2 linked regions of the Bombyx mori genome follow. The protein of the gene in region 2 purifies or fractionates together with the protein of the main gene of each other region. This does not show direct contact. Links are inferred from orthologs where the notes say so. Each region holds a gene or a part of one and is shown on either strand. Other genes may lie near its edges.

Region 1 (3,553 bases), on a different chromosome or scaffold from region 2:
ATCTTCTCAGAGAGTCGCGTTTCCGATCCGGTGGTAGATTCTGCGAAACCATGTTCTTGCCAGAGCTAGTGTTAGCAACTTCGTCAGGTTAGAGCCCCGTAAGCTCACCTACTCGCCCGGTGTTGAACTGGCATAACCCCTCAAGCATAGGCAGGAAAACAACACAAACGTATTTTTAAAAGTCAAACTTCGGAACTGCGGAAATAAAGTTAGCAACTTTTGTGACAGCTTGGAAGTTAGAGTATCTAGTGGGGTCATAGATTATCTAATTGAGATTTGCTGCAAACATTTTATGGTTCTGAGATTGCAAATAATGAAACTCAAAGCAGATCATTATAAATCAAACCCAGAAAATTATAATTTGCATAATTACTGGTGGTAGGTAGGATGTCTTAGATTTTGTTGTATTTCAACAAATATTGTAAATTTTTATAGCTTATGATCAAAATGGTTACAATACAGATCATATTTAAAGTAAACCATCAACACTGGTAGATCCTGTATTAAATGAAGTTTACCTTAAGATCATTGAAGTTACACTTTAAACAAGTTATATTGGTGGAATACTATACATAGAGCACAAAGGAATGTATGTATTTTATGATTCTTTGAAAGGAAAGAATCATTTATCTATATTTTAAATAAAAATGACTTCAAGGCGAAATAAAAATTTAAACTAAAATAGTGTGCATTAAAAAGTGTATTGGTACTTTCACTTGTTGTTGTGGTAACAGTACAGAATCTTAAAATAAGTATTCTTATATAACTAAAGCCTTATATAAAATTATAACATATCGAAGTCATCTCTCTGTAAAAGAAAAAAAAAGAAATATTAGTTTAAGTTTCTTCCGTTTTATCTATGCAAACACATCCATGTCTTTGTTAATGACAATGTTATAAATAATTGATCCCTATATAATGTTTTCATTTTTTTTTAATTTCATATCAAAACCAGTGTGACATTATGCTGTGGACAAGTTCTAAAATTTATTTAATGCATTACTGCTTTCCATTTAACAAAAGTTGTTTTTCACAACTATTCTAAACCTCTACGCAGAGCTTTTTCACAATTATATTATCAATATGTAAGTAAACTTAGAAATATGAATAAACATTAAAAAGTTTAATGAATGTGTATTGTGTATACTAACCATTTCATTATATTCCAGAACATGTTTTCTTATTGCTGAACCATCAACCCATGTAACAAAGTCCTCCAGTGATCTGTTGACAAGGAATGCAGGATCCTTCACTACTTCAGGTCCCACTCTTACATGTCCTTGTTCAATAAACTTTGTGGCTTCTTTAATAGTTTCTGACATTTTATCTGTGCATTTATAAACATCAATAATTATAAATGACATTTATTAATAAAAATGCAAATTCCAAGAAATATGTTATTGTAATGTTTATTGAAACAAGTGATACTCACTTCGAACCATCAACACAGGCAGCCTTCGCCTACAGAAAGAACTGGCAGAGACATTAGTGGCCAAGGCAAGATCCCATCTTGTCGGTATCAATCCAATTTGGTAAAGTTTTTCCAAAAGTTGAGCACTTGACTCTGTCCTGAATTCATTATTTGGATCGAGGTCTTTTATCTTGTTTGCGAGCTCTCTGATATCACGAGACAATTTGTTATACCTAACAATTCACACAATAATAGTTTTAGATTTATTATTAATTGTATTTTACATCAATTAATGGACAGTTTATATCTAAAGCGGCCAAATTCCCGCTTTCTGTGGAACCCTCCTGTAGAACCAGTTGTAAATTTAGGATACTAAAGTAAAATATTTGACTCAAATACGACTTCAGTGTGCTGAATTTAGAATTTAGGCATAACGACCGATATTCCCTATTAACAAAGTCTCAGACATTTCATTTAAATAAAACTGGCTGTCTCATAATATAATACATAGCTCATAATTGCAAAATTGCCTTACTTTGTGTAATCCTCACGCTTTTGTATACAAAACTTTTTCATAACCTTCACTTCACTAATATTGTTATCCAACTTCCATGATATAAAGTCTACTTTCTTTAGCAGTTTCCCTTCATGAAATTTAAGTTTTCTGACCATTTTGGGAACACCGAGCACAAGGATATAGGTTATGTAGTGTTTCTGCTTATATAAAAAATAATAATAAAATAAAAAATGTAACAGAACATTGATTATAAAGTCGTTTGTCAAAACCAATGAAGTAGGAAACCTATGGAAATGAAACGTCAACCAAAATTTCGTGCCCCTGTGACGTCATCTGGCCACAAAACATGGCGGCTTTAGTGCTGTACAAAAGATTTCAATGTTATCAGGTTTTATCGATAAACGTTCTTGGCTCATTTTATTTTAAATATTGTTGAGTATTATTTATTTGTAGAATTTATACTTTAATGGGAAGTAAGTAGGTATATTGTTATGTGCAAATATGATATGATTTAGATGGGTGAAATCTAAGACAAGTTCGTCCTTCGAATTTGCCAAGTAAACGATATGATGATTTTTAAAAGTTGCTACATTGATTTTATAAAGTTGTCGTTTGTCGCAAAACATAAAGATATGGCGTAGTTCAAAGCCATCAGCCCATTTCTAGCATGCTAAATGTTATCGTATTTTGAGTTGTGTTTTTCTTAGGCTATAACAATCTATTTTAATTGTTTTGCTGACTCTAAAGTCCGTAACATACTACCGCAGCGCACCCCAAGGAAGGTGCGCCGCACCATTTGAATCACTTTCGCTTGAGAGTGATTCAAATTTTAAACTTATCAAGGGACCGCGTGAAAAAAAAAACACCTACAGAACATTTATTCATTAATTACAAACGTCATTCCTTGTGACTTCCTCTCTAGAATCACTTAATTATGAAATATTTAACAAATTTACAATAGTGTTTTCCTCACTGCGGAATAAAACTATTTTATTTAAATAGTTCCGAAGAGATTTTGTCGGTAGCCTTTTTCCCGAAATATCTAAACAGAATGTCTAAATATGTTTTGATGACATATTTTAAAGTGGTATTTATGATTAGTGTCATGATCAATAGATTCCGACCGAAAAATGGATTTTTCGGATGAGGGCTCCATAATGAATTTAAATACATATAGATAATAGTTTTAGGGCATCGACTTTCTTGAGATCCTATAAAATACGTTTTAATTATTATTTTTGTATGTTTTAAGCATGATAAATTATGAAATTTTATATAATCAATCATATTAAATCGATATCAAAGTCAATAAATAATGTACAACCCAAAACAGACGGCCGAACTGACGTGACAATGACATTTGGCGCGCTAAACATGGCGGATTTTCGGCCTCATTAGACGGAGACGGAGATATTTACGTATATTCATGTTTCATTTTATGTACGCACTGAAATACTGTTATATTGTTTTCCTGCGAGTTAAAGTGCTGAGTAAGAACGAGATAGATATATGTTTATGTATGTGCCTTCAAAATGGGTGCTATTTATATAAGCAATTGTACGTATAGAACAATATGTCGTGTCCCTACTATATAGGTCTATGGTCAAAACTGAGTGGTTCTACGC
Region 2 (4,024 bases):
CATAGACATCTACAACGTAAATGCGCCATCCACCTTGAGATATAAGTTTTAAGGTCTCAGTATAGTTACAATGGCTGCCCCACCCTTCAAACCGAAACGCATTACTGCTTCACGGCAGAAATAGGCAGGGCGGTGGTACCCACTCGCGCGGACTCACAAGAAGTCCTACCACCCGTAATTACGCAAATTATAATTTTGCGGGTTTCATTTTTATTACACAATGTTATTCCTTCAGCGTGGAAGTCAATCATGAACATTTGTTGAGTACGTATTTCATTACAATGATATATAAGATATAAAACAGGATGAGCCCTAAAAATGACAGCATAAAATATATTTTATCAGCAGAAATAGACAAGATGATAGTACCTAATGCCTCAAACCTATCAACACCCAGGGTTCTTAATTTTCCCTAGCACCACTAATCATGGTAAAGTTAATAATCACTATCATTAGCAGCATTATATATATATATCAGACCCTTTCATTATTTCTCTGCAACCTGTATTGTATTCCTGTATTCCTGTTACATAAAAAAAGTAGACTGCAGGCTGTTGCTGATATCCATGATTAAAGTGATATTTTACCACTGCCTGCCTGCAATGGCAATGAATAAAACATAGTAGCTCTAATTCCTCATAAATACCCATGGTATGTTCCAACAAATACAAAAAATTGACAAGCCAAAAATATTTTATTGTCCCTTATTCTTAATTAATTTATTTTTCTTAATCAAGCTCTTGGTGTTATCATTTAACTGCTCAAAGAATGCTTTTGAAGTCTTCACTGATTTGTCACTGACTTCTACACTCTTTGTAGTATTCCTGCTGTCTGTTACTTTTGTAACCTGTCCTTTTTTCTTCTGCAATTTCTTCTTTTTCCTTCTTTCTCTATTTTTGTCTGTCTTTGTTCTCTCTTCTTTGCTAATAAGATCTCCTTTCTGTTTTCTCTTAATTTCTTCGGGAGCCAATAGCGCTGCATCACTGGTAGCTACTGGAGCCACCTCCTCCATCGATATTGCTGGAGTATTTGATACAATTGTCACTTCAGGCTGTACAGCTTTCGGTGTGTAGTGATAATGACTCAGTGCATCTAATTTTGAGAATAACTGTGACATGGCTTCTCGAATTTCTTTATGTGCTTCTGGTTCTTTTTCTTCTACAATCTCTCCTGATGCTGCCTGTTTCTGTTTTAAGTACTCCGCCTCATAGACTTGAGCTAAGCTTAGCTTGCTCTTTGAATGATCTAGAATTTCCTTCTTTCGGAATGCCAGTTGGTCATCAACTGGCTTTTCTTTTTTAACAACATCATCCCAAGCTTTATCTTTGATTCTACGTTTAATTATGTCTTCTAAAGAAACTGTGGTCTGTTCAGTTATAATTGGAGCTGGACGTGTTGTTAAATCAAAATCCACAACTTCTTGAAGAAGTGAGTTTTGAGGACGTTTCGATGCATCCACTTCACCTTTGAGTTGCCAAGAGGCTTCTTTCAAAGTCTTTTCCTCTAGTCGTTGAATGTGTTGTTTTAGTCTTTGCTGGCGTTGCTCAAACTCAGACTGTTTTTCTTCAATTGTTTTACTATTTACTTTATTATTTTTGTTACTATCAACTGAATTGTCATCTGAATCATCAATAGATGGTTGTGAGAATCGGACTTGCTTTTTTTTATTTGACTGCTCTGTAACCTCCTCTTCTTCATCTTCAACTGAATCATCTATTTCCTGGTCCATATCATAGTCCCCATCTTCAGCACCATCTTGATCAAAAAAGTCATTATACATGACATTTTCATCTTCCTCCTCCTCATTGTCATCTTCGAAGAAATCTATAGACTCCTCATCACTGTCACGATCACCTTTGGTTCTATTTGTTTGTTTTTTTTCTTCTTTCAATAAAAACTCTTCCATTTCGGAAAGTTTGAAAAACTTGTCATCCACCTGCGAAGGCCTGGTTTTCTTTTTTGGTACATCACTTTGAACTCGTTGAGATCTGCCATGCTCAAGTTCAATATTCTCAGATACTTTTTCTCCATCATCTTCTACCATAGGTTCAACACCATGAGGTAAGATCTCCTTGGGTTTTTCTTTAGCAACTTTTATGGGAAATACTAATTCGTTATTTGCGCTCATAGAGTTGGCCACCTCCCACACTATCTGGTCCCAGCGTTGGGAGTTCTGCAGCTCTATCTGTTGCCATATCTGCTCCTCATCAAAATCTTCCACAATTAATTCCTTTAAGGCCCCACTCTTCTTCTTCTTATCGCTCTTCTCCTGAGATTTCGTGTAATCGTATACCGATTTTACAAACCTTTTTAGGTCCTCTTTCAACTCTTTTTGCACAGACAAAAATTTTACTGGTTTATCAGTGTAACTGTTGAATTTATTAAGTATACCTTCCAAATCTATGCAAGCCATTTTACTGTAATAAATATGATAATTTTATCTTTAATGTGTCATGTAAAATTTAAGATACGGAATTACTGAAACTACCAAAGAAAACAAATCGCTGCAAAACCAAAAAACACACGCGGTGCATTATTTTGACGTTTGATCTAATGGTAGCATTGGCAACTAAATGACACATTGGTCTATTTGACATTTTTGTATTTTTTCATTCGTCCATTGAAAGGCCAAGAAAACATAGGCTATTTAAAAGAAATCTGTCACGGCAAAAATATAATCTTGGAATCAAATATGGCATTAAAAATGTAAAGAGGGTGATGACCTTACAATAATTAATTCATTGCTCGCATGCTCGCCAAAAAATAATTTGATCTAAAATGTTATTACAAATCAGAATGTTCTGTTCATAGTAAATGGTGCACATCTATAGTTTTAAAAGGGCCAATGTATATTTTATACCTCTTGGTATCCATGGGACCAATACAACCAACAAAAAATAAAGTTTATGGTAATGTAAGTAGGGATGGTCTGTAACAGATGAAATCAGAGACCTGTTCCACCTGTTCCTGTTCCATTGAAAGAACAGTTCCAGTAGCCTGTTCCAATATAACAGCTTGTTGTGTTACAACAGGCTTAATAATGTTTGAAGGGTGGAGCAGCCGTTGTACCTGAGACCTTAGAACCTTTATATCAAGATGTCTATGGGCTCCAGTAACCATTTAACACCAGGTGGGCTGTGAGCCCATCCACCCATCTAAACACTAAATATATAAATAAAGTAGAATATATTCCACATAAAGGAACAGTCACACATATGGAATGGTTTCAATACATTTTTTTAAATGTAAATAATCCTTCATGCTTTCTCAGGCTTAGGACTGACAACTTGGTTTATTAATATTAATAATATGTGAAACTAGTTTTGCCAAAATGTATTTAAATTAAAACATATAGCCCATATAAGCATGCCAGACCTAAAACAGAATAGACAAGTTCAGAAGTTTGGACTTAGTAAGCGTTCGGATACATGCTAGGCCTTTTAACTCAATTAAATATTTTTACCACCATAATAACAACTGTCTATTAATCATTTTAAAAGTATATTATCTTCAAATTTTAAGCAAGACATTACAAATAATACCATATTTTAAATGATATATAATATAACAGAGTACATTTATTATTGTATATAATAATTTATGCGTGTATCCGAATGTATTTACTAATACCAAAGGGGAATATGCATGCATGTTAATGTTATTGCTATTTTTTTTTCTATTACAATAAGTGAAAGGAGAAAAGAGCATGATACAAACAGTTTGGGAACATGATGTATATGCCATCTTTTTCTATTTCTATACGGGAAAAGAAAAAAGAGCTTGTTCCAAACAGTTTCGTTTCTGGCTGTTTGCTGTGGAACGGAACAACGCAACATATGGAATATTGTGGAACAGCTGGAACAGTTTGAACAGTTGGATCAGTTGTTTCGGTCTATAGACAACAGTTCCAAGTCTTTTCATAGACGAACCTATGAAAAGAAAACCTGTTCCGTTTGACTGTTCCGATAAATACGCCTCACCCCTAATTGTGAGGTGTTTTGTTTATTCTATGGCGACGTTGCTT

The links.
Region 1: the proteins of U3 small nucleolar ribonucleoprotein protein MPP10 (region 2) and U3 small nucleolar ribonucleoprotein protein IMP3 purify together in Homo sapiens (affinity purification with mass spectrometry; 4 studies listed by BioGRID and IntAct, with this or other methods). This does not show direct contact. The link is inferred for Bombyx mori from reciprocal best matches to the Homo sapiens genes MPHOSPH10 and IMP3.

The regions. Positions count from the first base shown.
Region 1 is NC_085121.1:982,395-985,947, forward strand, and holds U3 small nucleolar ribonucleoprotein protein IMP3, read right to left. Parts: upstream 2,084-3,553; coding exon 1,947-2,083; intron 1,645-1,946; coding exon 1,433-1,644; intron 1,394-1,432; exon of another isoform or gene 1,328-1,393; coding exon 1,152-1,327; intron 1,086-1,151; exon of another isoform or gene 956-1,085; intron 809-955; coding exon 785-808; 3' UTR 686-784; downstream 1-685. UniProt on the Homo sapiens protein: Component of the 60-80S U3 small nucleolar ribonucleoprotein (U3 snoRNP). Required for the early cleavages during pre-18S ribosomal RNA processing. Part of the small subunit (SSU) processome, first precursor of the small eukaryotic ribosomal subunit.
Region 2 is NC_085133.1:369,282-373,305, forward strand, and holds U3 small nucleolar ribonucleoprotein protein MPP10, read right to left. Parts: upstream 2,577-4,024; 5' UTR 2,414-2,576; coding exon 695-2,413; 3' UTR 676-694; downstream 1-675. UniProt on the Homo sapiens protein: Component of the 60-80S U3 small nucleolar ribonucleoprotein (U3 snoRNP). Required for the early cleavages during pre-18S ribosomal RNA processing. Part of the small subunit (SSU) processome, first precursor of the small eukaryotic ribosomal subunit.